2 linked regions of the Macaca mulatta genome follow. The protein of the gene in region 2 interacts with the protein of the main gene of each other region in a biochemical or structural test. Links are inferred from orthologs where the notes say so. Each region holds a gene or a part of one and is shown on either strand. Other genes may lie near its edges. The genes, in order: FLOT1 and SORBS1.

Region 1 (15,735 bases), on a different chromosome or scaffold from region 2:
CTACCAGCTTCCCAGCCCCAGACTTCTGCCCCTTGATGACCACGAACTGCCCAGTTTGATTCCCACCATTCCAAGGCCCAGATTGCTTCCCCTCCAGCTCCCAGATTCTCTCCTGTGGGTTGCTGTCCCCTAGCCCCCGCCAGTTCCTCAGTCTTCCACATTCAAGCTCTGCCACAGTTCCTCACTGCTCCTCACTTTGCAGGGTTCTGCCGAAGCCCCCCAGTCATGGTGGCTGGAGGACGAGTCTTTGTCCTGCCCTGCATCCAGCAGATCCAGAGGTAGGCAAGAAGGGAACCAGGGAAGGGGAACCTCCCATTTTCTCTTTTTCCTCCTTTTCTTACTGTCTGTCCCTTCTTTTTCCCCTAGGATCTCTCTCAACACACTGACCCTCAATGTCAAGAGTGAAAAGGTTTACACTCGCCATGGGGTCCCCATCTCAGTCACTGGCATTGCCCAGGTGAGGCTTTCAGAGCCTTTTCCCCAAAGTCTACTTCCCCATCACCCTCTCACCCAGACATTAAGACATCTTCTGGCCACAGCCTTCTCGATCCTTGCCTGCAGAGAAGTTCCTCTGCTAGTCTCATCTTTTCCAGGCACCCTCAAGGCACTTGCTGCCTCCTCCTTTCTTTCCCTGAAATGGAAGAAGCATTTCTTTGAGGGCTCTCCCTTCTCTCTGCTTCTTCTCTGACTTCATGAGGCCCCCACCACACCTTTCCTACCCCTACTCTGGCTACAGGTAAAAATCCAGGGGCAGAACAAGGAGATGCTGGCGGCCGCCTGTCAGATGTTCCTGGGGAAGACGGAGGCTGAGATTGCCCACATTGCCCTGGAGACGTTAGAGGGCCACCAGAGGGCCATAATGGCCCACATGACTGTGGAGGTTGGCCTGGGGGCAGGGAACCATCTGGAATGATGCCAAAATGAGGGGGACCCAAGGACCACACTAGTCTGTGACAGACAGTGGATCTAAGAGCTTACATCCCGGCCGGGCAGGGTGCTTCATGCCTGTAATCCCAGCACTTTGGGACACCAAGGCGGGTGGATCACTTGAGGTCAGGAGTTCAAGACCAGCCTAGCCAACCTGGTGAAACCCCATCTCTACTAAAAATACAAAAATTAGCTGGGCATGGTGGTGGGTGCCTGTAATCCCAGCTACTTGGGAGGCTGAGGCAGGAGAATCGCTTGAACCCAGGAGGTAGAGGTTGCAGTGAGCCAAAAAAAAAAAGAAATCTTACATCCCCTCTCCCCACCATCCTGTTATCACAGGAGATCTATAAGGACAGGCAGAAATTCTCAGAGCAGGTTTTCAAAGTGGCCTCCTCAGACCTGGTCAACATGGGCATCAGTGTGGTTAGCTACACTCTGAAGGACATTCACGATGACCAGGTAAAACTGGGCAATTGATCCTTCCCCACTTCCTTGCTCCCATCTCTTAAGCCGTCCAAGGGACTAATTTCTACATCTCTCCCACAGGACTATTTGCACTCTTTGGGAAAGGCTCGAACAGCTCAAGTCCAAAAAGATGCACGGATTGGAGAAGCAGAGGCCAAGAGAGATGCTGGGATCCGGGTGAGAGAGATGGGGGTTGCTTAGTGGGAAAGGGGATAGAAGTGGCACAACTGAGAAGAAGCAGGGGTGCTGGGTTAGCAGGGAAAATACTTGAGGCAGACAGAGAACCTTGGTGGGAAGCAGGCTCGCACTGTGGCCTTTCTCCCACTGCCCTGACATTTCCTACCTGATCTCTGCTTGGACAGGAAGCTAAAGCCAAGCAGGAAAAGGTGTCCGCTCAGTACCTGAGTGAGATCGAGATGGCCAAGGCACAGAGAGATTACGAGCTGAAGAAGGCCGCCTATGACATCGAGGTCAACACCCGCCGAGCACAGGCTGACCTGGCCTATCAGCTTCAGGTCAGAGCCACTGCACTGGGCAGATGGCCAGGCTGCTCTCTGCCCCTTCCCCATTCCTCTCAGGCTGTCCGTCTCAGGAACCACCACTTCTCATATTCTAACTCTGATCTTATTCTGGCTCTCCATCAGTGGACCAGCTCCCCTATATGAGGAGAGATTTAAAAGACTCAGATGTTACAGCTGAAAAGCTTTAAAGAAAAGGCCAGCTGGGTGTGGTGACTCGTGCCTGTAATCCCAGCACTTTGGGAGGCCAAGGCAGGCTGATTGCTTGACCTTAGGAGTTCAAGGCCAGCCTAGGCAACATGGTGAAACCCTGTCTCTACAAAAAATACAAACATCAGTCAGGCATGGCGGCTCGGGCCTGTAGTCACAGCTACTTGGGGGATGAGGCAGGAGGATTGCTTGAGGCAGGAGGATCGCTTGAGCCAGGATGTGCAGGTTGCAGTGAGTCGAGATCACACCACTGCACTCCAGCCTGGGTGACAGCGAGATCCTGTCTCAAAAAAAAAAAAACGAGAAAAAAAAAAGACCAGGAGCGGTGGCTCATGCCTGTAATCCCAGCACTTTGGGAGGCCAAGGAAGGTGGATCACAAGGTCAAGAGTTCGACACCAACCTGGCCAACATAGTGAAACCCCGTTTCTACTAAAAATACAAAAATTAGCCAGGTGTGGTGGCACGTACCTGTAGTCCCAGCTGCTTGGGAGGCTGAGGCTGGAGAATTGCTTGAACCCAGGAGACGGAGGTTGCAGTGAGCTAAGACCATGCCATTGCACTCCAGCCTGGTGACAGAGTGAGACTCCATCTCAAAAAAAAAAAAAAAATTCAAGAAGGGATATGATCAGTAAAGCTGGTCATATGTTTGGAGCAGACTGTGTCTGTGCAAGGGTATCTGACTGAGAAAATGGATCCGAGCTCAGATCCGGCCCATGCCCCTCTAATCAAGCAGTGCTGACATGGGTCTGCATCTACACAGAGGAATTTCTAATTTGCACAGAGGCATGCTGTGGGCTAACAGCAGCCCTGGTTAATCAAAAAAGGGTATGAAGAAGGAAAACATGGACTTGGACATTGAATCCTGCAAAGTGAGATATGGGCAGCCCTTGATATTGCCAGGAGATATAGTTGATCTTCATTCTTCATTATTTGTATCTGAGAATTTGCCTATTCACTAAAATGTGTTGGTAACCTCAAAAGGTTACCAGTAAAGTCGCTGCACTTTCAGAATCATTTGCAGACACGCACAGAGTGGTGAGATAGCTGAGCCACCTGATGTGCAGTGCCCAGGTGAGGTTCAGCAAGGAGATGCTCTGCCGCCTTGTTTCAGCTCTCATATCATAAGCCATGTTATTTTCGCAGTATATTTACTGCCATGTTTTTTGCGTTTTTGTGCTTTTTCTTGGTGATTTCGCTCTTTAAAATGGCCCCCAAGCATCAGTACTGGAGTGCTGTCTGGTGTCCTGTAGTGCAAGCAGGCTATGATGTGCCTTATGGAAGAAATACATGTGTTAGGTAAGCTTCGTTCATGCAGGAGTTGTAGTGCTGTTAGCTGTGAGTTCAGTGTTAATGAATCAATAATATAGTTTACATAAGGTGTCTTTAAACAGAAACACATATAAAGCAAGGCTTTATATTGATCGGTTGATGAAAATGTTGTGACCAGAGGCTCACAGAAACCTAGCCCTGTATTTCTTCTAGGAACAAATTAGGTACTAATTCAGCATTCATGACTACTTCATAGAACAGAACTACCAAGAATAATGAAAGTCAACTGTACTTTGAGACCTTTACCCAAAGGATAGCAATGTTATGCATTTTGTTTTTGCCAAGAGTTGGTACAGGCTGAAAGCATTATGAAGGTACAAAACATCTTTTGTTATTATGTTAAATTCCTGGGTGACTTGACAGGTTGAGCATGGCATAGAGCTTGGCAACTCAAACTGTGTTCTACCTAGCAGCAGCTACAGCATCATTGCAAAGCTTGTTCGAAATACAAAATTGCAGGCCCTGGCCCTCATCAACTGAATCAGAACCTGCATTTTAACAAAATCTTGAGGTGAATTCCTAGGTGATTTGTATGCACATTGGAGTTTGAGTTTGAAAAGGATTACCATAATGGAAACTGCTAGCTTGCAGTAAAGCTATGGATAAGGTTCTTAACCTTCTAAACATGACCTTACTTGTCTGCAGATTAAGAGATTGGGCTGGTTGGGCTCTTTTCAACTTTTATCAGTTTCTTCTTACGCACCAGGCACTGTGCTAGGTGTTCAGGAAAGGATTTATTCAACAAATATCTGTTAAGTGCCTCCTGTGTGCTAGACATCATTTTGGAGGTGAGGCTGTAAATACGAATGAGACAGAAAAGATTCCTGCCCTTATGCAGCTTACATTATGACACAGGAAACAGCTAGTAAGCAAGTAAATGACCTTCCCAGGCTATAATTCTTGTTTACGTGCTGTGAAGGAAATAAACAGGGTGATGTGAAAAACTGTGGGAGGGGAGTTATTAGGTTAGCGGGTGGTCAGAGAAAGTTTCTAAAGGCCAGGTGCGGTGGCTCAAGCCTGTAATCCCGGCACTTTGGGAGGCCGAGACGGGGGGATCACGAGGTCAGGAGATCGAGACCATCCTGGCTAACACGGTGAAACCCCGTCTCTACTAAAAAATACAAAAAAACTAGCCAGGCAAGATGGCGAGCGCCTATAGTCCCAGCTACTCGGGAGGCTGAGGCAGGAGAATGCCGTAAACCCGGGAGGCGGAGCTTGCAGTGAGCTGAGATCTGACCACTCTACTCCAGCCTGGGCTACAGAGCGAAACTCCGTCTCAAAAAAAAAAAAAGAAAAAAAAAGAAAGTTTCTATGAGGAAGTGGTGTTTGAGATCAGACCTGTAGATAAGAAGGAACAGAGTTCTGGGCCAAGAACATTCTAGCCTGTACTTTTTAAGTAGTCATATGTGGCTGGGCGCGGTGGTTCATGCCTGTAATCTCAATACTTGGAGAGGCCGACACAGGAAGATCACTTGAGGCCAGGAGTTTGAGACCAGCCTGGCCAACATGGTAAAACCCTATCTCTACCAAAAATACAAAAAATAGTAGCCGGGTGTGGTGGTGTGAGCTTGTAATTCCAGACACTCGGGAGGCTGAGGCATGAGAATCACTTGAACCCAGAAGGTGGGAGTGAGATCGCGCCACTGCACTCCAGCCTGGGTGACAAGCGAGACTCCTTCTAAGATAGATAGATAAATCGATCGAGACTCTGTCTAAGGTAGATAGATAGATAGGGCTAGTGGCTAGGCAGGAGGACCAGTAAGTGCAAAGGCCATGAGGTGGAGACAGAAAGGAGGTTTCTGATCTGAGGAGGCTGGTGTGCTGTGAATGAGGAGGAAAGGCTGACGGCCAGATCACAAAGGGTTTGTGTGGTCATGATGGAGACATAGAAGAGAATTGAAAGCACAGTGGAAAGCTATTGGAGAACCTCAATCAGAAAGGTGCCATGGTCTTATTTATATTTGTATAGGGATCAGTCTGGTTGCCTTGTGGAGAATGGACTGTATGAAGAGAGGAAGCAAGGCCAGGCGCGATGGTTCACGCCTGTAATCCCAACACTTTGGGAGGCCGAGGCGGGCAGATCACGAGGTCAGGAGATCGAGACCATCCTGGCTAACACGGTGAAACCCCATCTCTACTAAAAATACAAAAAATTAGCCAGGTGTGGTGGCGGGCGCCTGTAGTCCCAGCTACTCGGGAGGCTGAGGCAAGAGAATGGCATAAATCCGGGAGACGGAGCTTGCAGTGAGCCGAGATAACACCACTGCACTCCAGCCTGGGTGACAGAGCAAGACTCTGTCTCAAAAAAAAAAAAAAAAGGAAGTAAGAGATGAGTTGGGCTCTTTTTCAGAGATGATGGATTAAACGAATGTAGCTAATTTTACTCTCTCCTAAAACCTCACTAAAGCCAAAATGATTTTTTTTAAGATAAAGACAGAGGCTGGTCCAAAGGTAGTGAGTTATCTCAATTGATTGTTCAGTCAGTTACAGATTGAACTCCTTGTTCTGCTCTTTACCTACTTCTCACTACTGCACTTGACTAGTCTTTCTTCCTCTCTTTCCTTCTCTCTTCTCTCCTCTCCTCCTCTTTGAGACTGAGTCTTACTCTGTCCACCAGGCTAGATAGAGCGCAGCGGTACAATCTCAGCTCACTATAGCTTCAACTACGAGGCTCAAGCGATACTCCCACCTCAGCTTCCCGAGTAGCTGGGTCTACAAGCATATGCCACCACACCTGGCTAATTTTTGTATGTTTTGTAGAGATGGAATTTCACCATGTTGCCTAGGCTGTTTTCAAATTCCTGGGCTCAAAGGATCCTTCCCACCTCAGCCTCCCAAAATCCCAGCATTTTGAGAAACTGAGGTGGATGGATCACTTGAGATCAGGAGTTCAAGATCAGCCTAGCCAACATGGTGAAACCCTGCCTCTACTAAAAAAAAATACAAAAATTAGCCAGACGTGGTAGCATATGCCTGTAGTCCCAGCTGCTTGGGAAGCTGAGGCAAAAGAATAGCTTGAACCTGGGAGGTGGAGGTTGCACTGAGCCAAGATCACGCCGCTGCACTCCAGCCTGGGCAATAGAGCGAAACTCTACCTAAAAGAAAAAAAAAAGAAAATAAATAAATCTGCTTAAATAAGAGGAATTCTATGAATACACACATTCTTGTAGATGTTCAGAGTATCCCTGGAAGGATACACAAGAAGCTGGTCTGGGTGGCTACTTCTGGGAAAGGGACCCACGTGGTTTGGAGAATGTAGGAAGAAGCTTTCTCGTGGTTTACTTTTTTTTCCTGTTAAATCTGCACCATATGCAAAAGACAAAAAAGATCACGTGTCCCCACCCCCACAAAAAATAAGTCAGCTATTGCAGTAGCCTAGGCTAGCACTAAGGTTATTCTAGCAACAGTGGGGGGATTTGAGCAAGACTGGAGATAACAGAAGGCCACCATGTGCTCAGTGCCCTCCAGGTATTTATACTCTAGAAGGGGGCACAGGTGGGAAAAATAGATTAAACAGGAGCTCATCAGAGGAACACTGGACTCCACTGGGCTGGCCAAGCAGGAGGGGACCCACCTTCATGTACCTGCTCCTATTTTTTTTTTTTTTGGGAGATGGAGTCTTTTTTTATTTATTTATTTATTTTGAGTCTAGTTCTGCCGCCCAGGCTGGAGTGCAGTGGCGCGATCTCGGCTCACTGCAAGCTCCACCTCCCGAGTTCACGCCATTCTCCTGGCTCAGCCTCCCGAGTAGCTGGGACTACAGGCGCCCACCACCGCGCCCGGCTATTTTTTGTATTTTTAGTAGAGACGGGGTTTCACTGTGATCTCGATCTCCTGACCTCGTGATCTGCCCGCCTCGGCCTCCCAAAGTGCTGGGATTACAGGCGTGAGCCACCGCGCCGGGCTGGAGATGGAGTCTTACTCTGTTGCCCGGGGTGAAGTGCAGTGGCGTAATCCCGGCTCACTGCAACCTTCACCTCCTAGGTTCAAGCAACTCTCCTGCCTCAGCCTCCCAGGTAGCTGGGACTACAGGTGTGTGCCACCACACCTGGCTAATTTTTTGTATTTTAGTAGAGACAGGGTTTCACCATGTTGACCAGGCTGGTCTTGAGCTCCTGAACTCAGGCAATCCACCCTCCTTGGCCTCCCAAAGTGTTAGGATTACAGGCGTGAGCCACCGCGCCCGGCCACCAGCTCCTATTTTTATATCCCACTCTGGAGCTCTGGTTCCGGGGCACTTCCTCTTCACTTCTGACTCAGAGCGCCCCTCCTACCCAGGTGGCCAAGACTAAGCAGCAGATTGAGGAGCAGCGGGTGCAGGTGCAGGTGGTGGAGCGGGCCCAGCAGGTGGCAGTGCAGGAGCAGGAGATCGCCCGGCGGGAGAAAGAGCTGGAGGCCCGTGTGCGGAAGCCAGCAGAAGCTGAGCGCTACAAGCTGGAGCGCCTAGCCGAGGCAGAGAAGTAAATGTCCCCTTCCTGACCCTTCCTAGCCCACTTGCCACCTAGGCACCCCAAGATGGAGGGCTGAAGCCTTCACCACCTGGACTGCTATGGATTTTAGGTTTCAGGAACCTCTGCCTTTGCAACACTGAGTCCCTGGGCTGCACCCTCCACTTTCCTTCTGTCCACAGGTCCCAACTAATTATGCAGGCGGAGGCAGAAGCTGAGTCGGTGCGGGTGAGTTAAGATGCAGCTCCTGCTGGCTTGTGGAGAGGGTGGGGGTTGCTGCTTGAGCTGGGATTTCTTGTTCTTAATGATTTCCGTCAATCTCACAAGCATCCTTAACCCTCAGATGCGTGGGGAAGCTGAGGCCTTTGCCATAGGGGCCCGAGCCAGAGCCGAGGCTGAGCAGATGGCCAAGAAGGCAGAAGCCTTCCAGCTGTACCAAGAGGCTGCTCAGCTGGACATGCTGCTAGAGAAGCTGCCCCAGGTCTGGAGGTTGTGTGGGCACCAAGAAAAGAGGAAATAGAACCAGGGACTAAGGGGTGGGGTGAAATGAGGGGCTTAGGGAGAACCAGGCTAGGGGGACCCTAAATTAGGGGTGGGAATTATTAGTGGCCAAAGTAAGGAAGGATGACCAATGGAACGAGGACCTTAAAACCCAGGGTAAGTTGTTTTATGAGGAGTGTGGTCAGATCATGGGCACTGAGTGGGCATCTCTCTCCTGCCAGGTGGCAGAGGAGATCAGTGGTCCCTTGACTTCGGCCAATAAGATCACACTGGTGTCCAGCGGCAGTGGGACCATGGGGGCAGCCAAAGTGACTGGGGAAGTACTGGACATTCTAACCCGCCTGCCAGAGAGTGTGGAAAGACTCACAGGCGTCAGCATCTCCCAGGTGAGGTCTCAGGTTGGAGCTGAGGAGCAGAATTGCTAGGTTCCTGTGTTGTATAACGCAGCAGGCGTAGCATTTCGCCAGCATCCAGGCCTGGGAGTCACTGATGTTTATTAATCACTTTCTGTGTGCCAGACACGGTGCTAAGCTTCTACATAAATGAGTTGTTTTATATACCCTTAGGGTATATAGGGTTTTACAAAGTCAAGAAACTGAACTTCCAGCATGTTCCTACTCATTCTGCTGGTGCAGCTGGAGTGAAATCTAGGTCAACTGTCTCTGCAACCTGTGCTTGTGGTCACCCCACTAGTATAGGGAACTAGTTGCAGCCTATTGACAGTTAATTAATTCCAGGGCATATCACTGCTTTTCTTGGTTCCCCAGTTAATTCACCTGTAGATCATGGTCGAGGTCAGCAAACAGGCTCTGGAACCACTGTTTTGTTAATCCTAGCTACAATGCCTGCTAGCTGTGATCTTGGACAAGTAATCAACCTCTCTATACCTGTTTCCTCACCTTAAAATTGGGTTAATAATTAGAAACTACCCTGTTGAATTGTTGAGGGGCTCGAGCAAATATTTGCAGTGTTTAGAATAGTGCCTGGTGTATAGTAAGCATTATGTGTATGGTAAAGAAATGGTGCCGGGTGCAGTGGCTCATGCCTGTAATCCCAGCACTTTGGGAGGCCGAGGTAGGCAGATCACCTGAGGTCAGGAGTTCGAGACCAGCCTGGCCAACATGGCGAATGAAACCCCATCTTTACGAAAAATGCAAAAAAAAAAATTTGCCAGGCTTGGTGGTGTCTGCCTGTAATCCCAGCTACTCGGGAGGCTGAGGCAGGAGAATTGCTGGAACCCAGGAGGCGGAGGTTGCAGTGAGCTGAGATTGCACCACTGCACTCCAGCCTGGGTGACAGAGCAAGACTCTATCTCAAAAAAGAAAAAAAGAAGCCAGGCACGGTGGCTCACGCCTGTAATCCCAGCACTTTGGGAGGCTGAGGCAGGCGGATCATGAGGTCAGGAGATGGAGACCATCCTGGCTAACATGGTGAAACCCTGTCTGTATTAAAAATACAAAACAGCCAGGCATGGCGTTGTGCGCCTATAGTCCCAGCCGCTGGGGAGGCTGAGGCAGGAGAATGGTGAGAACCTGGGAGGCAGAGCTTGCAGTGAGCCAAGATTGCGCCACTGCACTCCAGCCTGGGTGACAGAGCGAGACTCCATCTCAAAAAAAAAAAAAGAGAGAGAAAGAAATGCATATTTGGACTGGGCGCTGTGGCTCATGCTTATAATCCCATAACCTTGGGAGGCCAAGGTGGATGGATCAGCTGAGGTCAGAAGTTTGAGATCAGCCTGGCCAACATGGTGAAACCCCATCTCTATCAAAAATACAAAAATTAGCCGGGTATGGTGGCGCATACCTGTAATCCCAGCTACTCGGGAGGCTGAGGAAAGAGAATCACTTGAACTCAGGAGGCGGAGGTTGCAGTAAGCCAAGATTGCACCACTGCACTCCAGCCTGGGTAACAGACTGAGATTCCATCTCAAAAAAAAAAAAAAAAAAAAAAAGCATATGTAAATAAAAGCCCTGGATCATACCGATGACCTTCAAACTGGGTTCCTTGGAGCCTCCTGGAGGCCTGCAGTGGAATATTCATAGCTAAGGAGAGTGCAAACAAGGCTCTGCCCCTTCTCTTCTCTTGAGTGATTTATTGTATGTGGATCCTGATGTCTTTGTTTAGGGAAACAGGATGAGGTAAGGCACCAGAAAGAAGACTCCTGGCCGTGTGTGTTCTCCCTATAGCCCATTCATCTAAATGGGGGCCCAGGAGAGCAGGGGCCTCAACCTCCCAAATGTTCCCAAGTGTCACCTGCTGTTGTCTTTTTGCCAGGTGAATCACAAGCCTTTGCGAACAGCTTGAGCCTTCAGCCCTCACAGATGCCCAGCCTCATAGCTGAAGTTGCCTGAATGATCCTCCTGTTGCATGTAATCCACTGGCCTCCCTGAGCATGTCCATTGACAGTGAGGTCCCACCCCTCATCTCTCCTTGCCAAATAGTTTGTGCCTTGTCTTGAAGGGGGTTGCTCCCCTTGCCAACCTCACACTGCTATGATTGCCAACTCCAGTGGTCCCATGTCAGCCTTCTGATGATCCCACTCCACCCCATCTCAACTTATTTAATTCCTAATTAAATCAGACTGTTGGAGCCTGTTGTCTAGAATACTTTCCTGACCAAGACTGAAGGATGTGCTGGAGGTTTTCAACTTTGCTACCCAAATAAATTGCTATAAGTAAGTACTGATACTTATCAACAATTAATAAAACAGAAGCAACTGGAAATGAATGCTTGGCCCGGCATGGTGGCTCACATCTGTAATCCCAGGACTTTGGGAGCCCAAGGCAGACAGATCATCTGAGGTCAGGAGTTTGAGACCAGCCTGGCCAACATGGCGAAACCTTGTCTCTACCAAAAATACAAAAATTAGCCAGGTAGGGTGGCACGTGCCTGTAGTCCCAGCTACTTGGGAGACTGAGACAGGAGAACCACTTGAACCTGGGAAGTGGAGGTTGCAGTGAACCAAGATCACACCACTGCACTCTAACCTAAGCAACAGAGTGAGACTGTTTGAAAAAAAAAAAAAATGAATGCTAGAGTCAGGTGTGGTGACTCTTGCCTGTAGTCCTAGCTACTTGGGAGGCTGAGGTGGGAGGATCACTTGAGCTCAGGAGTCTGAGGCTGTAGTGAGCCGTGATCGTACCACTGCACTCCAGCCTGGGTGACAAAGCAAGATCCTGGCTCTATTAGAAAGAAAATGAACGCTAGAATGTAGCTTCCTCCTTTGCATAAAATAGGCTTTCTAGAATGGGAGAAAAGCAAGTTACTTATATACTGTCAAGAGTTTTAGAGTTAATTTTTCCCAACAGTGTATTATAGTCAGAAAAGCATGCTAAAATAGAAGGACTGTTGAGAATAGTATTAGTTCCCAGAATTCCTGAAAATATGGCAAAAGGAATTATTGTTTTCAGGGTAGCTTTGAGACTTGCATTGAGAACTTAAAAGTATGAGGTATGAGGTAGCAGATGGTACAGATTGTTTTAGAATGGGACTGTAAGGTAGCATTCCCGACTGTCTTTTTTTTTTTAAACACAGGTCTTGGGCCGGGCGTGGTGGCTCATGCTTGTAATCCGAGCACTTTGGGCCTGGCACAGTGGCTCATGCTTGTAATCCCAGCACTTTAGGAGGCTGAGACGGGTGGATCACTTGAAGTCAGGAGTTTGACCAGCCCTGGCCAACGTGGTGAAACCCCATCTCTACTAAAAATACAAAAATTAACCTGGCGTGATGGCGGGCGCCTGTAATCCCAGCTACTTGGGAAGCTGAGGCAGGAGAATTCCTGGAACCCCGGAGGCAGAAGTTTAGTGAGCCAACATCGCGCCAATGCGCTCCCCCCGGGCAACAAGGCAAGACTCCATCTCAAAAAAAAAAAAGACAAGGTCTTGCTGTCACCCAGGCTGGGGTGCAGGGGTACGGTCAGGGCTCATTGCAGCCTCACCCTCCCACCCAACCCCCACCCTGGCCAACAACCACCACCCCCTACCCCGGTAGATGGGACTACACGCATGCGCCACCATGCCCAGCTTTTTTTTTTTTTTTTTTTGGTTAGATGGTTCACTGTTGCCCAGGCTGGTGCGGAACTCCTGGGCTCAAGCCATTCTCCTGCCTCGGCCCCCCAGTGCTGGGATTACAGGTGGGAGCCACCATACCAGGGCTTCACTAGTTATCTTGGTGTCACAGGTTGACTAAGCCTATAGGATCACAAGAAACGGCCGTGGGTACACATAACCCAAAGGAATCCTGGGCTGAGTGGCCAAGGCCAGTTCAACCATTTCTGGTTCAGTACATCTGGGTGGGACAAAAAACTTCCATTTATTTCTGCAAGTTTCCAGAGGATGTGGATGCTGGTCTGGAAACCAGTTACGCATGACTTGTCATTCTTCTCAGCTTCCATTTTCCAGCCCTGGATCCTGTATCTAAGCCTATGCCTTCCCCAGTTAAGACTCATTGGTGGACCTGGTGCATTGGCTCACCTGGCTCATACCTACAGTCCTGCTGCTTGGGAGAATGAGGATTGCCCGAGCCCAGGACATCAAGGCTGCAGTGAGCTGTCAGACTCCATTAAAAAGACTGACTGGTGCTGAGAACAGTTTGGGTACCAGAGATAATGACGTGAGGGTCTATTCAGTAGTGTCCTTACCAGTACCTCCCTGAAATATCAAATCGGCAGACGCCCAAGTCCCTCATATAAAATGTAGTATTTGCATATAACCTGTGTACTTTAAATCATCTCTACATTACTTGTAATACCTAATCTAATGCAAATATTATGTAAATAGTTTATACTATTATTGTTTAGGGAATAATGAGAAGTCTATATATGTCCAGTACAACTATTTTCCCAATATCCAGTTGGTTGAATCCATGGATGCAGAACCCATAGATGGGACAGGAACTTAATATTGTGAAGTGTCAATTTAAGGAGAGCAGTGCACCTGAACTCAGGCCCCAGGCCTCCATCAGCAGTGTTTCCCTAAATAAGCACACATCTCGTAGCTTTTTTCAATTCCCATTTATTTTTGGCTCTTGGGGCGATGTCATCTTTTCAATATGAAAAAAAGCAGCAAGTTCAACACAAAATAGAAATCTCAAATGTAGGAAAGAACAAAACTAAGTGTGTGTGGGGGGAAGCAACAGCAAAATGAAGAAATGAGATGTTGCAAAAAAAGATGGAGGGTTCCCCTCTCCTCTGGGGATTGACTCAAACACTGATGTGGCAGTATACACCATTCCAGTCAGGGATGCTTGTTCTTTTTGGGGGATAAGAAAAGATGGGGATTCAGAGGACGTTTCTGGAGGCTTAGGGACCAAGGCTGGTCTCTTTCCCCCCGGCCCTGCCCCCGCCCCCGCCCCCTTGATGCCTTTCTCTGATCAGGGGAAAGGAGTTCGAATGAGGGAGGTAGAGTTGGAAAGGGAAGGATTCCACTTGACAGAGTGGGTCAGACCCCTCCAAAGAGTAGAGCTTGGAGGGAGATTGAAAGTGGAGATAATACTGCTGACACCTCCCTTGAAGCTGAGATGGTAAATGGACATACTTGGAAATTAGTGACTTTAATAGCCTGGATTTCCCTCTCCAAAACTTAGAATGGAAAATCCCATCCCCTCCCTTATATAGTGACTTCTACCCACTACCTTCTACCACTTTCTACTTTGGGCTTAGGATGGTGGCCATTATCTACATGGGTTTTCAGCACCTGGTTGGTTCTAAATGGGATCTGGATGAGACCCAGCGTCTTGGAGATTTTTAAGAGGGAAATATTAACTGGACAGATGGAAGGAATGGGCACCAGAAGGAAATACAGGGTCACCAGAATGGCAGAAACCTAGGTTTCCCAGAGTGGAAAGAGAGAGGAGACATTCAACAAACAAGTATTTATTGAGTGCCTACTATGTGCTAGGCACTGTTCTAGACCCCCCCCCCCAGAAGAAAAAACAAAAAACAAGATAGAGGCAGCAAACACAAATTCTGAGGGAGAGGAAAGGGGCAGTTGAGTAAGACGGCTAAGGGAACTGAGAAGCCTGAGGTGATGGGGGCTCTGCCTTAGGCCTCCTCTTCGGCCTCCTCACCGAAATCCTCCTCCTCTTCTGCGGTGGCATCCTGGTACTGCTGATACTCAGAGACGAGGTCGTTCATGTTGCTCTCAGCCTCAGTGAACTCCATCTCGTCCATGCCCTCGCCTGTGTACCAGTGGAGGAAGGCCTTCCGGCGGAACATGGCAGTGAACTGCTCCGAGATGCGCTTGAAGAGCTCCTGGATGGCCGTGCTGTTGCCGATGAAGGTGACTGCCATCTTGAGGCCACGAGGTGGGATGTCACAGACAGCTGTCTTGACGTTGTTGGGGATCCATTCCACAAAGTAGCTGCTGTTTTTGTTCTGCACGTTAAGCATCTGCTCATCGACCTCCTTCATGGACATCCGACCACGGAAGACAGCAGCCACGGTGAGGTATCGGCCGTGGCGGGGGTCACAGGCAGCCATCATGTTCTTGGCATCGAAGACCTGCTGGGTGAGTTCTGGCACTGTAAGAGCTCGATATTGCTGGCTTCCACGGCTGGTGAGAGGGGCAAAGCCAGGCATAAAGAAATGGAGGCGTGGGAAGGGGACCATGTTGACTGCCAATTTGCGGAGGTCAGCATTGAGCTGGCCAGGGAAGCGGAGGCAGGTGGTGACACCGCTCATGGTGGCTGAGACGAGGTGGTTCAGATCCCCGTAGGTTGGTGTGGTCAGCTTCAGAGTACGGAAGCAGATATCATAGAGGGCCTCGTTGTCAATGCAATAGGTCTCATCAGTGTTCTCTACCAACTGATGGACGGAGAGGGTGGCATTGTAGGGCTCAACCACGGTGTCAGATACTTTGGGTGAAGGAACCACACTGAAGGTGTTCATGATGCGATCAGGGTACTCTTCTCGGATCTTGCTGATAAGGAGAGTGCCCATTCCAGAGCCTGTGCCTCCACCCAGTGAGTGGGTCAGCTGGAAGCCCTGCAGGCAGTCACAGCTCTCTGCCTCCTTCCGTACCACATCCAGGACAGAATCAACCAGCTCGGCCCCCTCTGTGTAGTGGCCTTTGGCCCAGTTGTTACCTGCCCCAGACTGACCTGGAATGCAGTCAGGAGAAAAGCTCAATTAACAGGGTATGGAAGATACATGATGTTTCCATCTTTCAACTTTAGAAATAATTCCCTTGGATGTATCTTCTTTCTCCTTCACTGTGATGTATTCTCCCCCCACTGCCCCATAATGTACCAGCAACAGCAGGCACTACCTCTACCCTACCTCTACCCTCCATTAGATTTCAGAATACAGTTCTTAGCACTCCAGTACAACAATCATCTC
Region 2 (15,735 bases):
TTCAAAGAGTAAATGATCATAACATTTCAGAATATCTTTTCATTTAAGGTTCTCAGGTAAAATTCCCTCTCATTATTGGTCAGATTCTCAACCTACCTCCCCAATACCTATAATAAAAGTGAACTTTTGTTTCAGCTCTTTAGTTCAGCAAGGATCATAATGGCTGACAGTTCTCTTGATACGCAAACTGGTCTGGAATGCATTTTTCCAAATAAGCAACAGCCTGTGGTCACGTCATTCTGATGGGGCTGCCAGAGAACAGTTGTCATATAAGTCCTTCCCATTTTTAGCATGTCTGTCACCCAAAGGGGGCCCAAGACACAGGAGCCTCTTCTGAAGGACCCCGTTTCCAGAGTTGTCAGCTCCTGCTCCAGCCACAGGAGGGGAAAGTGAGGCGGCTAAAGGGGAGGTGCGGGAGCAGCCCTTTTCACACAAATGCCAGCTCTCAAGGGGGAGCGAGCCCCAGGCCACAGCCTGGGCACACCCATGGAAAAGGGGCTTGTGCCAGGAGGTCAGAAGGAAGGGAGGGGACAGGAAGTGGTACACTTGGGGTCTGGAGACCCACCAAGAAAGGAACACCAAGTTTCAACAAGCCTGACTTTCCAATCAACATAATCTTCAGTGTTGCCAGCTACTCCACTCCTATCCTGCCTTAGGAAGCAGGAAGCGTATACCCCTAACCTTACTCGGAGATCCGGCACCGTGCGCACTTCCTATACACACAGGATCTTGGAATTGGGCCGGGATGATGACTCAACACTGACGATAAGGATGTCCTCGCGTGCCTTGGGTTGACTTAGAACGTTTATAGAATTATTCCTGTGTCAGAGACGTTTAATTCTTTTCAGCTAGCCACTTTACCACCTCTTCTATTTTTTCCTCAACCTGTTCCAGGGCCAGGCAAAGCCTTTGCCAGGTATTGCTGCTTTCCTACGGCCCCACACAGCAGCGGGAGATCCCACATATGGAGCCTTGGCACGTGCCAAGCACCAACTTCCGTTAATTACCTCATTGAATCCTTGCCCTACAAGCGATAGACTGCTTCCACTCCTATTTTGCATGTGAGAGGTTAAATGGCTTTCTAGCAAAAGACTAAGCCTCATTTCTTATAAACTACCCCATCCTGGCTCACCCTCAGTGATCTCTACTCCTGATGTGCTGGCCCACCCATGGGCCCACATGTGCTTGGCTGGAGCTGGAAGTCTGGCCTAGTGTGTCTCAAGCCCCTGTGCTCCTGTGTCCCCCAAGCATGCCTCTATTATTGCCCTGGTGGTATTGCTATGTTTGTAGGCTCCTCCTTGTTTTGAGGAGGCTTGAACTTAGGGTCCTCAAGAGGAGAGACAAATGACCCTTGTACTCTGCCCAGAGGCTGCTACCTGCAGGTCTTATTCATAGACGGAATAACTACAGCCTCAAAGGGAAACTGAGGTTGCAAGTCTAAGGGTTAAGCACTATTTACTGTGGACATCATACATACTAGATACTTAATAAATGGCTTGCAGACATCTTCAGGAACTCGATCTGGATCTAAGGAGGTTCTAAGAATATTCTCAGTTCTAGAAGCAGTTCTAGATCACCCAAGATGGTGGCTCTATCACTTCCATTTATAAAGTGCTGACCATGTTCCCAGGATCATAAGCCCTTGTACTCAACCAGTCTTTGACGTAGGTGCTATCATCCCCATTTTACAGATGAGGAAACTGAGTCTCAGAGAGCGGAAGTAACTCCCAAGTCACTAGACAGTAAGAGGTGGAGCTGGCATTCAAACCTGGTTGCTTCAGAGGAGTTGCTTAAGTCTTTGACTTTAGCAGTAGTAAACAGCATAGCCAAAATCAGAATTGTGATTTGTTTAGTTGCTAATTTCATGTCTCCAAAAAAATTTTCAGGTCTCAAAACACCCTAAGGCTACCTTTGCCCAAATGCTGCACTCTTTGTAGCTGACCCAGAGAGAAGATGGGACACTCACCCAAAAACCTGGCATGCCTACTCAAGGATACCCCATGCCAGTCAGGGCCCCAGGAGACCTGCATTCTCCTCTCCAGAACCAAAACACCTTTGTTGCGTGGCAAACAAAGGCCCCGCGCGCCCACACAAACACGAGACAGGACAAAGACCTGACAGAACCGAGCACTAGCAGAGCACCATGGGTTATGGAAACAAAGTGCATCTTACATAAAAGCAAACCACACCACCACACCAAAGCCTGGTGTTCTCAGCTGTGTTAGTCAAAGCAAACCGAGGGTCATCTCCAAGGCATACGTGGGACGTGAGGAAGGTCTGCCTTCTCAGAGGCCCTTGCAGCAGGCCAGGAGGCATTCAAAGTAGAGATAACTTCCGAATGACCTCAAGTGGTCAGATACAGCCTGTCCTTTCCCTCCAACTGTATCCAGCCCTGGCACCTGAATTCATGTCCCCCCATTCCCTCCGGGGCCATCTCTTTGCTCCCGAGGCAAGCAAATGGTCTCACCAGCATTCACTTGGCCTCCGTAGATGGACCGGGGCGAGACGTGCAGCCCACCCTGCCAAGTGAGACGCCAAGTGCACACGCGGCATGCTGCAGTCCTACCTGGCTCCCACCTCTCCGAGCAGCTTTCCTCCCCGCCTGCTCGCCACCTCTATGCCGCTCTGTCTGCTCAGCCTCACTTCCTGGAAAAGCGCTACCCAGGGGCTTGCCGGGCCGGCTCTCCTCAGGGGTGTTGAGATCTGAGAGTCTGTGTTCAGTACTCAGGCACCTGACCACGTCTGAAGGCTTCAAGCAGCTCTTCTTAGAGATCTCGGGTCCGCCAGGGCCTCTCTGGCCTGCCTCCCTCTCTGCTTTCCTCTCATATTGTCCACTCTCTTCGCGCCATGGCTGCCTCTTGCTCTGGCTGCTAAAGGCATCACTAAGCTGGGAGATGACACTATCAGAGCTCCCCAGTGGCAGCTGCGAGAAGCTATCTTGGTGGATGCCTGAAGATGGCGTGTGGACACCACCGTCTCCATTCATGTGAAGGGAGGCCTGGGAAGCGGGTGCTAGGGCGTAGGTTTTGTGTGGGGAAGGTAGGGCCAGTGGAGAAGCTACTGACCGTGGGGTGGGACGATCTGACCAACTCAAATGGGGGAGGCTGAGAGACAGGGAGGGACCGGCCCTTGGTGACAAGGCGAGGTGGTCAGTGTTATAGACAGAAGCCTCTGGCAGAGGAGGCAAGGGTGGGGTCAGGGCCAGAGAACGCCTGCCTGGGACCCCCACAGTCAGCGAGATCCACTCAGAGGTGACGGCGTGCATCTCAGGGGACAGGGCTCGGCGGGAATGGGGCAGAGATGAGGGTGCTGGCGTGATGAGCTTGCTGTGACTGGAAAACTTAAAAAGAAGAAGAGAGAGGAAAACAAAAGAAAGAAGCAAAAGGTACAAGTGTCAGCATAAAGGAAAAAGAAGGAAAATAATCACAAGGGGTATATAAAGAGGAATGAAATGGAGAGGATGCGCAAGGACACTCTGGTGTCCAAAAAGGAAATCCTTGGGTTACATCTGGGGAGAAACCAGGATGGGTGAGTGTGCGTGTGAGCATGTGCGAACGTGAGCCTGATGTGTGCAGGCAGTGGGTGGAGGAAGCAGCCACAGGTGTGGAGATGGAGAGAGGTTCCCATCAGAGTAGTGACGGATGAGGCCAGCCTGCTTTGCAGAATTGGAGTTTCAAAGGGACCCACTGGAAGCTCCCTATCCCAGCCCCCCAGCCCCTGTGCATCCAGATCCCTGACCCGGAACCATGGGGAAAGGTGGCCCCGCACTGCCATGGCCCTTCCCTGAGGTTTTATTTTCTCTGGGAGCTCAGCAGAGTCTTCCAGAAAGGAGTATGAGTAGTGTACTAGTTTTGTTTTACAATCACTCTTGGCTACAGTCAAGTGAAAAATGTAGCTGAGTTCTCTGCATCCTTACAAAGCAGAATGTCCCGCCCCAGTCACACACCCTGTCTTATAAGACAACAGGATGCGGCTGTCACTGTGCAGGAAGCCCTGGGTCAGCCTGTTTAATGCTTTCTGCCAAGAACCCTCTACTGGGGTCAGTGATGAGCAGGTGTCAGAGGAGGAAACAATTAGAGGACTAGACAAGAGGCATCATCTCAGGGTCAACCTGGGCCCCCAGGTCCTACTCTTGTTCCTCTGCCAACCTCCTTACAACATACATGGTGGTTTGGCTGGACTTTTTCACAGGATGTCACCCCCACCATATCACCCTGAACTCAAGGTTCTGACATTTTCTTGGCTTTGGGAAAGTGGGGATCAGTTTGGAATAGTTTATGTTTCTAAACAAGTTTATTCATAATTAATGTTTGGGAGAGCCAACATCTTACCATGCCTATAAACCTACATCCTTTCAGCCCACTGAGACTGAATGCTATAAGTTACTTGTTCCAGTCAACCTGGTTCCGGTGAATGCAAACACTTTGGACCTGGTCTACGTGGCTGACGAGAAGAAGGTGTAAGTCTCTCTTTCAGCCTTTGTCTTCTGCAGGCCAACTTTGGCCAAGATGACTGAGGACCACATTTGGACCATGGGATTTATGACACAGCGGTGGTCCCCACACCAACAGCTTCACCCAGGAGGGACCAACTGATAAAGGCTCTTGTTTCTCTTTCCCTAGTCACTTTATTCCCAGAGCAATTATCTGACTCTTTCTTTTCCTCTGAGATAATATATCTTCAACCAAGCACTGGAAAAGGCCATTTGTATGCATGAAGACAAAGTCCAGTGTACAGTCTGCTTTCCTGCAGTTTTTTTTTTTTTTTTTTTGAGAGTCTCACTCTGTCGCCCAGGCTAGAGTGCAGTGGCGTGATCTCAGCTCACTGCAACCTCCGCCTCCCGGGTTCAAGCAATTCTCCTGCCTCAGCCTCCCGAGTAGCTGGGACTATGGGCGCCCGCCATCTTTTTTTGATTTTTGAATTTTTAGTAGAGACAGGGTTTCACCATGTTGGCCAGGCTGATCTCGAACTCCTGACCTCAGGTGATTCACCCACCTCAGCCTCCCAAAGTGCTGGGATTACAGGTGTGAGCTACCATACCCGGCCTCCTGCAGACAGTTTTTAATTGCAGTGCTCAAAAACCTCCCCAGAGAGGCTGTGTGCCAACAGCACTGTTGACTAAGAAAACTCACACGCTGAGTATGAAAACCAGTGACGAGAAGCTTAGATACCTGAGGGCTTGCAGTGGCACTGCGACTTGGGGAGGCAGAGAAAGGCAGGTCCATGTAATCCACAGGGTTTTTCACCAGTGGCCGCTTGATCACATCCACGTAGGTGATGGGGAAGATGCCTTGTCGGGATGTCCCTGGGATCCTCCCTTCATACCAGTTCTCATCTACCTGCCGGAGCAGTGTTATCCTCTCACCCTGGAAGACACAGCAAAGACAGGGTCCTTGTCCTAGCATGCCTCTGCATGCCTGGGGCCTCTGCCTGCATGCTTCAATGTCCTGCATTGTTTACCACATTCTTAGCTCAGCAAAAACATTCCCTGCTGAACCCGGAGGGAATTACCACCACTGGGATGAGGATGCTAATGGCAGAGGAGCTACCTTGATGCTGGGAAGTTTACCTTGGTTCTTTAAGTATTTTAGTAAAGGAGAACATCAGATTTGTGCCCCTAAGCCAGGGAACAAATATAGTGTTTTTGACTCATTTAATGTGAAACAGATATCCAATCTTCATCTCTAAGGCAAAGATTTTGGGGGGTTTCTCTTTTTCTTTCTTTTGTAGAATTATAAATACTTATAATGTATCATTATAGAAAAATCAGAACACAAACATAAAGCAGAAAACAATCTTCACCCATCACATAGTCATTTGGGGATAAACACTATTAATATTTGGCATATGGACTTCCCAGATTTACTTCTACGCATGTGAATTAAACCTCACATATTTTTTCTTATAAAAATTGAGTATAAACTGTGTTTCCAAACTTTTCCAACTTGCTTTTTAAAAAATACTTAATAGTACATAGTAAACCTCCTTCTTTATCAAAAAATAGAATTCTAGATTTTTAATGGCATTGCACAGCTTAATGGACCACTGCAGGGTATTCTGTTGCACACACATATAATGATTTAATTACTGATCCCCTGCTGTGGGGCAAATTGGGTTGCTTCCAGTGTTACATAAGATGGTTCATCTTTTTCTAACCCATGTGCTCACTTCCCTCAATCCTCAATAAAATCAGTAACTTAGTAACTTTAGGAAGCCAGAGAATTTTGCCAGGTAGAGTGTTTGGATTCTGGAAAGAAGAACTTCTCTGCACAGTGTAATTGCGTCTGAATAAGCATGACGGTGATGATAATAATACTGGCATCTCCTGTTTACTAAGCACAAACCAGATACCATGTGTCATGCTGGGGGCTTCACATAAGCTGTTTCACCTAAGTCTCTTACAACCACCTAGGGGAGAGCCATCTATCTTCATTATTTTCTATAAGAAAATAGTGGCTTGGAAAAAGTATTTAACTCCCACATTCTGCACAGCTGGTTTGTGCCTTTTGGGTTCAAAGCTTTTCAAACTTCTCCTGGTATCAATGCACCTGTTTCTTCCACTAGATCACACCAATATATTGTAAAACCCAGTCCCCAACACAGTGCATTATCACATCATTAGTTGGTAAGTGTTGGTTGAAAACAGCTTATAAAAGATGTCTAAGACTCCAGAAATACTATCTTTAATCAGTGAGCTCAATACAGTTAAACCCTGACATTAGCCTAGGGTTTATTTTAAAAATACCTTACCTCAGAAAATTCTCCAATTGCCCTTAATGCAATTCTTTTAGCTTTTTTCTTCAATAGAGATGGGGTCTTGCTATGTTGCTCAGGCTGGTCTTGAACCCCTGGCCTTAAGTGAGCCTCCTATCTTGGTTTCCCAAAGTGCTGGGATTACAAGCCTTAATGCAATTCTTTTTTTTTTTTTTTTGAAATAGAGTCTCACCCTATTGCCCAGGTTGGAGAGCAGTGGAGTAATCTCAGCTCACTGCAACCTCTGTCTCCCAGGTTCAAATGATTCTCCTGCCTCAGCCTCCTGAGTAGCTGGGATTACAGGAACCCACTACCATGCCCAGCTAATTTTTGTATTTTTAGTAGAGACGGGGTTTCACCATGTTGGCCAGGCTAGTCTCAAACTGACCTCAAGTGATCTAACCACTTCGGCCTCCCAAAGTGCTGGGATTACAGGCGTGAGCCACCGTGCCCAGCCCTTAATGCAATTATTGATTAGCATACTTCTCTTAAGGGTACAGATAGCACCCCCAGACTGGGATGTGATAGCAACACCACACTTCCCCACATAGCTGTGCCATCCAAGAGAGCCCCAAAGCAAGGCATGAGAAGGGCAGCTTACCTTTCTGAAGGACATTTCTACCTGTGTATCACCATTAAAGTTAAACTTAGCAATAGCTTCTCCATATTCCAAAACCTGCACTGGTGTCAACTTTTTGGGCTGAGCCTTCTCAGCAGGAGGAAGAAGCTGAGAAAGGGAAACAGGTAAAAGAGAACAAGGGAAGAGAAGAAAGCAGGGAAACAAGAGGAAAAGGAGGAAACAAAACATAAGCATTTAGTAAATAAATGGTGCTTTGGGCACAGTCAGGCTTTTCCTTAGAAAGAAAAGGGGCTGCGGTACCTCAATATAGGTGCGTGGGAAGATTCCCACCCGGCCGTGGTGTTCTCCTTCATACCAGTTCTGATCGATTTGCTTATAAATGTAAACAATATCTCCCTTCTGCAGAGGAAGCTCCCTGTCGACAGAGGGTCAACGGCATTTTAGCAGATGTTTCAGTATGTGTAAGATTAAGACACTTCAGTTTTGTAGCAAAAGAAGACTTTTAAGTGGGGTCAAAGGGTACAAATTCCAGAGAGGGGACTCCATATTTGGAAGTAAGAACCCCACTATTCAGGAAATTACATCACGTTTGGCATTTTTCCAGTCTTTTGCAGGATGGATGTTAACATTCAAATTGACTAGCCCTTGAAAGTGCTCAGAGGCCTTATTAATTTGTTGTGGTTTTCTAAATGCATTTTTTGTGAATGTTGTCTTATGCTCAGAATATTTATGCAACACACAACAATGCACTCAGCTGCCTTAACTGATGTTTATTAAACGAAGAAAAGCGTCTCCTTCTGGATACCTTCACTATCCTCTACTATGCCCTAGCAGGACATGCTTTCGTTGCTTTAAATTGCCCTCAAATTATTTGTGATATATTGGCATCCTTCTATCATTCCATCAATTTCACCATTTGTCCACCCATCCATTTTACCATCCGTCTTTGTATCATCATGCAGTAGAAAGGTTCTGAAGTTAGGCAGATCTGGTCCAAAACCCAGTTCTGAAATTTAGTAGCTCTGGGACCAGGGACACAATACTTAATCTGAGACACTGTTTCTTTAGCTGAACTTGGAGCTAACTCAGAGTTGCTGGAGAATGCTTCAACAAACTAAAAATAAACAGCTAGGATGGTGCCTGTTGTACAGGTAGGTAACACTCAATAAATAAATGTTAATTCCATTACTTTTTTTCATGAGACAAGGTCTCATTCTGCTGCCCAGGCTGGAGTGCAAGTGGCATGATCACGGCTCATTGCAGCCTCAACCTCCTGGGCGCAAGTGATCCTCCTACTTCAGCCTCCTGAGTAGCTGGGACTACAGGCATGCACCACCATGCCTGGCCAATTGTTACATATATATTTTCGTAGAGATGGGGTTTTGCCATGCTGCCCGGGCTGGTCTTGAACTCCTGGGCTCAAGTGATCCTCCTGCCTCAGTCTCCCCCAAAATGCTGAGATTACAGGCATGTAGTCACCGCGCCCGGCCTAATTCCTTTGCTTTTTAACATGGAAAAGTGATGTTGGAAAGAAAAGTAGATTTTCCTTCAAATGCTCTTTGTGCCCCTTTGCAACTTTTCCATATCCATTCTTTTGTTTGCCTTAATAATGATGATGTTATTATTATTATTATTATTATTTTTTTTTTGAGACAGTGTCTCACTTTGTCACCAGGCTGGAGTGCAGTGGTGCAATCTCAGCTCACTGCAACCTCCACCTCCCAGGTTCAAGCAATTCTCCTGCCTTAGCTTCCCGAGCAGCTGGGACTACAGGCATGTACCACCATGCCCGCCTAATTTTTTTTTTTGTAGAGACGGGGTTTCACCATGTTGGTCAGGCTGGTCTTGAACTCCTGACCTCATGATCCACTTGCCTTGACCTCCCAAAGTGCTGGGATTACAGGCGTGAGCCACCGCGCCTGGCCCAGATGATGTTAATTTTTAACCAGGACTCTTTTTTTAAAAAAGTTAGACAAAGGCAAATTTTAAACAAAATGAAAACTTAAGGATAAAAATTAGAACGTTTTCTTTTTTTTTTTTTTTTTTGAGACAAGAATTTTGCTCTTGTTGCCCAGGCTGGAGTGCAATGGTGTGATCTCAGCTCACGGCAACCTCTGCCTCCCGGGTTCAAGCTATTCTTCTGCCTCAGCCTCCCCAGTAGCTGGGATTACAGACATGGGCCACGAGGCCCAGTTAATTTTGTATTTTTAGTAGAGATGGGGTTTCCCCAAGTTGGTCAGGCTGGTCTCGAACTCCCAACCTGAGGTGATCCGCCCGCCTCGGCCTCCCAAAGTGCTGGGATTACAGGCGTGAGCTACTGCGCCTGGCCCTTACAACTTTTTCTTGAATTAAATAATTTTAAAATTGTAACATTTTCTTGAATTAAAAAAAATGACCTAGATCTTTTTCATTTGTGTCAAACCAATAGGATGGAAAAGTCTCCAATTGTAACTTGGAAGGGGTGTGCTCACTTTGCAGGATGCCAGGAAGTCCCACGGTATGTGAGGGGTGCTGGCCGAACAATGAGGGCACATCTGGAAAACTATAGAAAGTCAATTCTGTGCTGAATAAAAGCACAAGGCAGCCTTTGTGGGTCTCACATTAGCAAACAGGATTCTAACCCTCAAGAGGTCTGTAAAGGGGATGTGGGCATTTGTCTCTGTGAGAAGGAATGTCTCGGGCCACATTTTTGCCACAGCCCTCTTTGGCGGGCATTATGAATTCCCTCTTCCTTTACCCCCAACCACAGTCACATAGATGAGCAAGACCCTCAGCATATTCACTGCTGTGGAGACCTGCAGGCTCCTGACTCTACTATACTAAGTATCTTGCAGCTGTGGAGGGGGGCGGGAGCGTAATGGTCCTACTGTTAAGCAAAGGATACACTTGTGTGTGAGAGAGGAACTGAGGGGTCAGTAGTTGTGGCTGATGGAAGTCTACCATGGGAAACCTGGGGCCCTATTCTGCCACTACTGTGGACTATACTCCTAGCTCCCAAAGAACCATGCGACCAGGTCTGCTGGTGAGAGGGTTTGAGAAATATGATTCGCTTTAGATCTTTTTTTGAGCATCACAGTGTACATCAGCACAGCAGAGGCTCTGAGAAGACCCAGGGGAAAGAAACTTGTTTAACTTTGTTGAACCAAGTATTCCATAACATGCTTTTTATTTTTTTTATTTTTTTTATTTGTTAAAATTTTTTAGACGGAGTCTTACTCTGTTCCCCAGGCTGGAATGCAGTGGCGTGATCTTAGCTTACCGCAACCTCCACCTCCTGGGTTCAAGCAATTCTCATGCCTTAGACTCTTGAGTAGCTGGAATTACAGGCACTTGCCACCACGCCCCGACTAATTTTTGTATTTTTTGGTAGAGACAGGGTTTTGTCATGTTGGTCAGGCTGGTCTTGAATTCCTGACCTCAAGTGATCTGCCAGCCTCGGCCTTCCAAAGTGCTGGGATTACAGGCATGAGCCACTACGCCTGGCCCCGGCAGCATGCTTTTTTGAGTAACTGACTGCGGGGAAATGTAAAACCAAGTGACTGAAGGGCTTAAAAGACCATGGAGCTAGAATTTACTTTTTTCACTAAATTTTGTGGACTTTTTTTGGAGGCAGCATGTCGTGATGAAAACACGGAATCAGAAGGAAGGAAACCTCTCTCCGGCATTAGCAATGTTGATAAAAGGTGACAATTTCTGTGGATCTAAGCTTTCTCACCTGTTCTATTTGACGGGGTTGCTCTAAAAAAAAGTTGTTTTAAGACTCTTTATGAAATCTGGGAAAATGTACTATTATCATCACTAGACCATTTAATAAATCTTACATAGACCTTTCTCAATTCAAAGAAAAAGTGTATTAATTAAATTGCAAATTAATTTATATATCTCTGTTATCTTGTCTGGTTTAAAAAAAGGGGGGTAAGAGGATAATATATTTTGAGCACTAAATTTTGGTACACTACGCAAAATGTTTTACAGGTATTACCCCAGCTTCCCTGAAAGAGAGGCATTTTTACCCGTATCTTGCAGATAAAGAAAATTGAGTGGGGGAGAAGTTGATAACTTGACTACACTCACAGAGATAGTAAGTGGCATAGTCAGGATTTGAACACAGGACTTCCTGACTCTAAAGCTCGCAATCTTTGCAGTATGGTACGCAGCCACCTCCTTTAGCTGACCAACTAAAGGACTGGAGTAATACACACAAACCCAACTATACCAGATTTGTGACTAGGTTCTAGACACTGTGGCCTGGTCACTCATTTTGTGGGATAGAGGAGATCAGAACCATGGTTGGTTAGCTCCACATAGCATTTCCCAGCATCTAAGGACAGGGAGCTCTCCCTCTGATCACCAGATGCATGACCGTCCATCTGCAGGACAATGGGGTGGCCACTGTCCATTGTACTTTTAGCTGCCAATGAGAACTCATGGACTATTTAAATCCATAATTAGATAAAAAGCCAGCTGTTTCCTTATGGAACCCAGTCTTTGGTAGCATTTCCCAAATCGTGTTTCAGGTTCTTTTCTTGAAAGACTTCTGGAGCTATTAACATGCCATCAACAAAGTATTTCTTCAAAGTGGGTGGGAGGTATAGATATAGCATGCACTGTTTCCCAACTCATTCTACAACAGAACTCCCTTTTTGAGAAAAATCTTATAGGGCTAGCACTCTGAGGAACACACTTAGAGAAACGCTAGTCTCCGGTGGGTTCATGTAAGCCTTTAATCTCTTGGGATGTTGTAGCAAAATGGGTAAAGTTATCTCCCTAGAGACTGGTCTAGATCCTTCCACAGAAAAGATGGGTCAGATCAAGCCACCACATAAGCAAATAGAGCCCCTACATAGGAGGAGGCAGGGTGGGACAGGGTATAAGAGCCCAACCTCTGCCTAGGTTTGAATTCCAACTCTCTCACACCAGCTTGAGCAGGTTCCTTAACCTTATAGTCCCTTGGCCTTTTCATTTGAACAGTGGGGATCATCACAGCACCCACTCCATAATGAGTTAACATATGCAAAGTACTCTGAATAGTGTTTGGCACATAGCAAACTCTATGAACTACTGTTTTGTTCTTTTTTTTTTTTAACAACAATTTTGATAATTGTTATTTCTCCAACTCTTCTCTACAAACAAACTGTTGTGTTTCAAAGAGACAGCTAAAAAGATAAATAAATATAACTGGTAGCACTTACTTTAGTGTCTGAGCTTTAAAGTCAAATTTGGCTCTGGCAGGTCTCATCTGAACATAAGAAACAATGACAAGTTAAAATCAGGATTCAGGTACAACAAGGACACATTTTCACAAATTTCTAGAAAGCAAAGCAGAGAAATTCACTCTAGCCAGTTTGTTCTAGTGTAGAAATCTGGGCAAAATTACATTTGTCTGACCTTAGTAGAATACTAGATAAATGTTTAGTTAACTATGTATGTCATGCATGAGAATCCCCTAAAAACAACCAGATCTGGGGAAGAGATGGTTAGAAAGGTCCCAAAGCTGAGGTACCAGTTCCTCAAAACATGCAGACCATGGCTATTGAAAAAACAAACAAACAAAAGACAAAGTCAGCCAGAAGTCCTAAGATGTTCCTTATCTACTGTCTTATTCCTTAGGTACATTTATTTGCTTAAATTATGATATGCAAGTAGATGAAACGCCGACTCACTTCTCACATCATCTCCAACTCCATATATTTCTTACGGTCTGTGACCTCATCCAAAAAGCCAGATAAAGTGGTCCCTGAGCTCAAATGACTCCTGCCAAGACTTCCAATCCTGTTGGGTAGTCCTCTCTTCCCAGATGCCCAGGTCCGAGTCAGCCTCCGCCCCTTCTCCACTTCCTGATCAAGTGTGTCATTAAGTCAGGAGGGACCTCCCTCCACACCTCCATCCCTCCGCAACCCTGTTGCTCAAAGCTGACGCCTAGTTCCCATTGACACAAAGCTTCCTTTGATTTCACATTCTCTTCACTCTAATCTGTCACCCGGGAGCACAAATAACATTCCTAACATTCTTCCTCACATCTCTTCCTTGCTTTGAAGTTGGCTGCTGCTCTCAACTTTCCCTCAGTTCAAATCTCAATTCCTGCCATAGGTGAAGGCCTCTGGGTAGTTTCTCCCTACTCTTAACCGAATTGCCTTTATCTCTACTACACTGTTCCTGTTCCAGTCAAATCTATTTGCTACACCTCAACTGAACCCCCTCCTATCCCCTCCTCTCTCTGAAATTTCTTTTTTCTTTTCTTTTTTTTCTTTTTTTTGAGACAGGGTCTTGCTCTGTCTCCCAGGCTGGAGTACAGTGGCACGGTCTCAGCAACCTCTGCCTCCCAGGTTCAAGCAATTCTTCTGCCTCAGCCTCCTGAGCAGCTGGGACTACAAGCATGTGCCACCATGTCTGGCTAACTTTTGTATTTCTCAGTAGAGACTGGGTTTTACCATGTTGGCCAGGGAGGTCTCTAACTCCTGGCCTCAAGTGATCCGCCCACTTTGGCCTCCCAAAGTACTGGGATTACAGGCGTGAGCCACTACGCCTGGCTGTGGAATTTCTTTCTTTTTTTTGAGACAGCATCTTGCCGTGTTGCCCAGGCTGGAGTGCAGTGGCACAATCATGGCTCACTGCAGTCTTGACTCCCCAGGCTCAGATGATCCTACCACCTCAGCCTCCTGAGTAGCCTGGACTACAGGCACGCACCACCAAGCCTGGGTAATTTTTGTACAGATAGGGTCCACGATGTTGCCCAAGCTGGTCTCAGATTCCTGGGTTCAAGCAGTTCTCCTGCCTTGGCCTCCCAAAGTGCTGGGATTACAGGTGTGAGCCACTGTGCCTAGCCTTCCGCAGGTATTAAAGTTTGCATTTTCACATTGATGTTTCCATCTATCTACCTATCTATACCATACATACTGGGGCCACGCGAATGATCACCTTATAATCAAGTTAAAGCCACACAATTTCAATACCTGTGTTTGTGTCTGTAACCAAAGGGCATAATTTCAGTTGCAGGTGAACAAGAAAAGAACGGATGTGGGGTTAATGATAAATGACAAGTTTACAAGAGAAAACTAAATGACCAAAATTATAAGGATACGAATTTTACAGTGATTCCAATAGAAAAACACAAGGAAGTAGGTTACCTCATGTCACCCAGCTGTAGAGCTGTGTGAACTTTAAAAAATTTATACCAAAGCAGCACCACATTCACACTCTGGTAACTGAGTTCTGTCAAAACAGTATCTCCTATCAATTAAATCAATATAATTATAAAGATTTGTAGTTTATGATTAATTTGTAAGTGGACTTAGGTTAATAATGGGGGGTGGTGAGATTTTTTTCACTGAAGGCCTGTTAAAATTCACTGATTCCATTAAACTCTTGAGACGTGTATGTGAGTCACTGGTAGTTATACAAAGCAGCATCCTCTCCCTCTTTATCTCCCTGTAGCTCCAAGACTGAATCCATCTTTCCCTCCTCTGGCTTTCACAGTATTGTATTACTTACTATAGGACAGAGATAACTGTGTAAGAGGGAGACTCTTCCACTGTCAGCTCCCCAAGGGCACACAGACAGAGTTCTTTCTGCCTCCCATAGGGTCTTACACAGAACCAGTGGTCACCCCAGTCCTACTGAATGGGACTGAAGTGCCTTGACACAGTGTGGTGCACCTGGGATGTGTTGGTCTCTACTTTTTCAAGTCCATCAGTCAACTTCTAGGGCAGTAATTCTCAAAATGTGGTCTCTAAACTGGTATCACCAATATCACCTGGGAAACTGTTAAAAATGTAAATTTTCAGGCCCCACCGCAGAATCAGAAACTTTGCAGATAGGATCCAGGGTTTGTATTTTACCAAGCCCTCCGGGGGATGCTAACGCACTTGTCAGAGTTTGCTCTAGAAGGGAGGCAGGCTCACTGAGCAGAGTTTGCCTGCCTCTGTCCACGGTTATTCCACCCATGGTGCATTTCTGTTTGCATGTATCAAGTACATGTGTAAGTGTGCAGCCCTAGCGCCTTTACCTGTTCCCATCTTCTTCTACCTACAAGCAGGCAGGACTATCGGTGAGGACAAACCATGCTCAGAGCCTTCTGAGAAGGGCCATTTTGAGGAGGAGCTGGAACGTTGAGGACTCAAGGGCTATCTTTCCCTTGCAATTAACACTTGCTAACTTTTGCTTCTTCCTTGATAGATTTTCTTTTTTCCATCACTTTAGAGTCTCCTTCTCTTCCCCAGCTTTCCTTTTTCTTTTAATTTGAGACAGGCTCAAATTTCTTTTAATTTGAGACAGGATCTTACTCTGCCACCCAGGTTGGAGGGATGTGTTCATAGCTCATTGCAGTCTTGAACTTTTGGGGTCAAGTGATCCTCCCACCTCAGCCTCCCAAGTGGCTATGACTACAGGCATGCACCACCAAG

The links.
Region 1: the proteins of SORBS1 (region 2) and FLOT1 form a complex in vitro, tested with the Homo sapiens proteins (2 studies listed by BioGRID). The link is inferred for Macaca mulatta from reciprocal best matches to the Homo sapiens genes SORBS1 and FLOT1.

Annotation. Positions count from the first base shown.
Region 1 is NC_133409.1:152,306,940-152,322,674, forward strand, and holds the end of FLOT1 (flotillin-1), read left to right. Parts: intron 1-202; coding exon 203-278; intron 279-366; coding exon 367-457; intron 458-736; coding exon 737-880; intron 881-1,266; coding exon 1,267-1,386; intron 1,387-1,473; coding exon 1,474-1,569; intron 1,570-1,754; coding exon 1,755-1,907; intron 1,908-7,728; coding exon 7,729-7,910; intron 7,911-8,080; coding exon 8,081-8,126; intron 8,127-8,241; coding exon 8,242-8,379; intron 8,380-8,620; coding exon 8,621-8,785; coding exon of another isoform or gene 8,786-8,824; exon of another isoform or gene 8,825-8,994; intron 8,995-10,673; coding exon 10,674-10,703; downstream 10,704-15,735. Other genes in the region: TUBB (tubulin beta chain), read right to left, coding at 14,440-15,497. UniProt on the Homo sapiens protein: May act as a scaffolding protein within caveolar membranes, functionally participating in formation of caveolae or caveolae-like vesicles.
Region 2 is NC_133414.1:107,350,837-107,366,571, forward strand, and holds part of SORBS1 (sorbin and SH3 domain-containing protein 1), read right to left. Parts: intron 12,573-15,735; coding exon 12,526-12,572; intron 7,749-12,525; coding exon 7,634-7,748; intron 7,481-7,633; coding exon 7,355-7,480; intron 5,367-7,354; coding exon 5,172-5,366; intron 3,341-5,171; coding exon 2,567-3,340; intron 1-2,566. UniProt on the Homo sapiens protein: Plays a role in tyrosine phosphorylation of CBL by linking CBL to the insulin receptor. Required for insulin-stimulated glucose transport. Involved in formation of actin stress fibers and focal adhesions.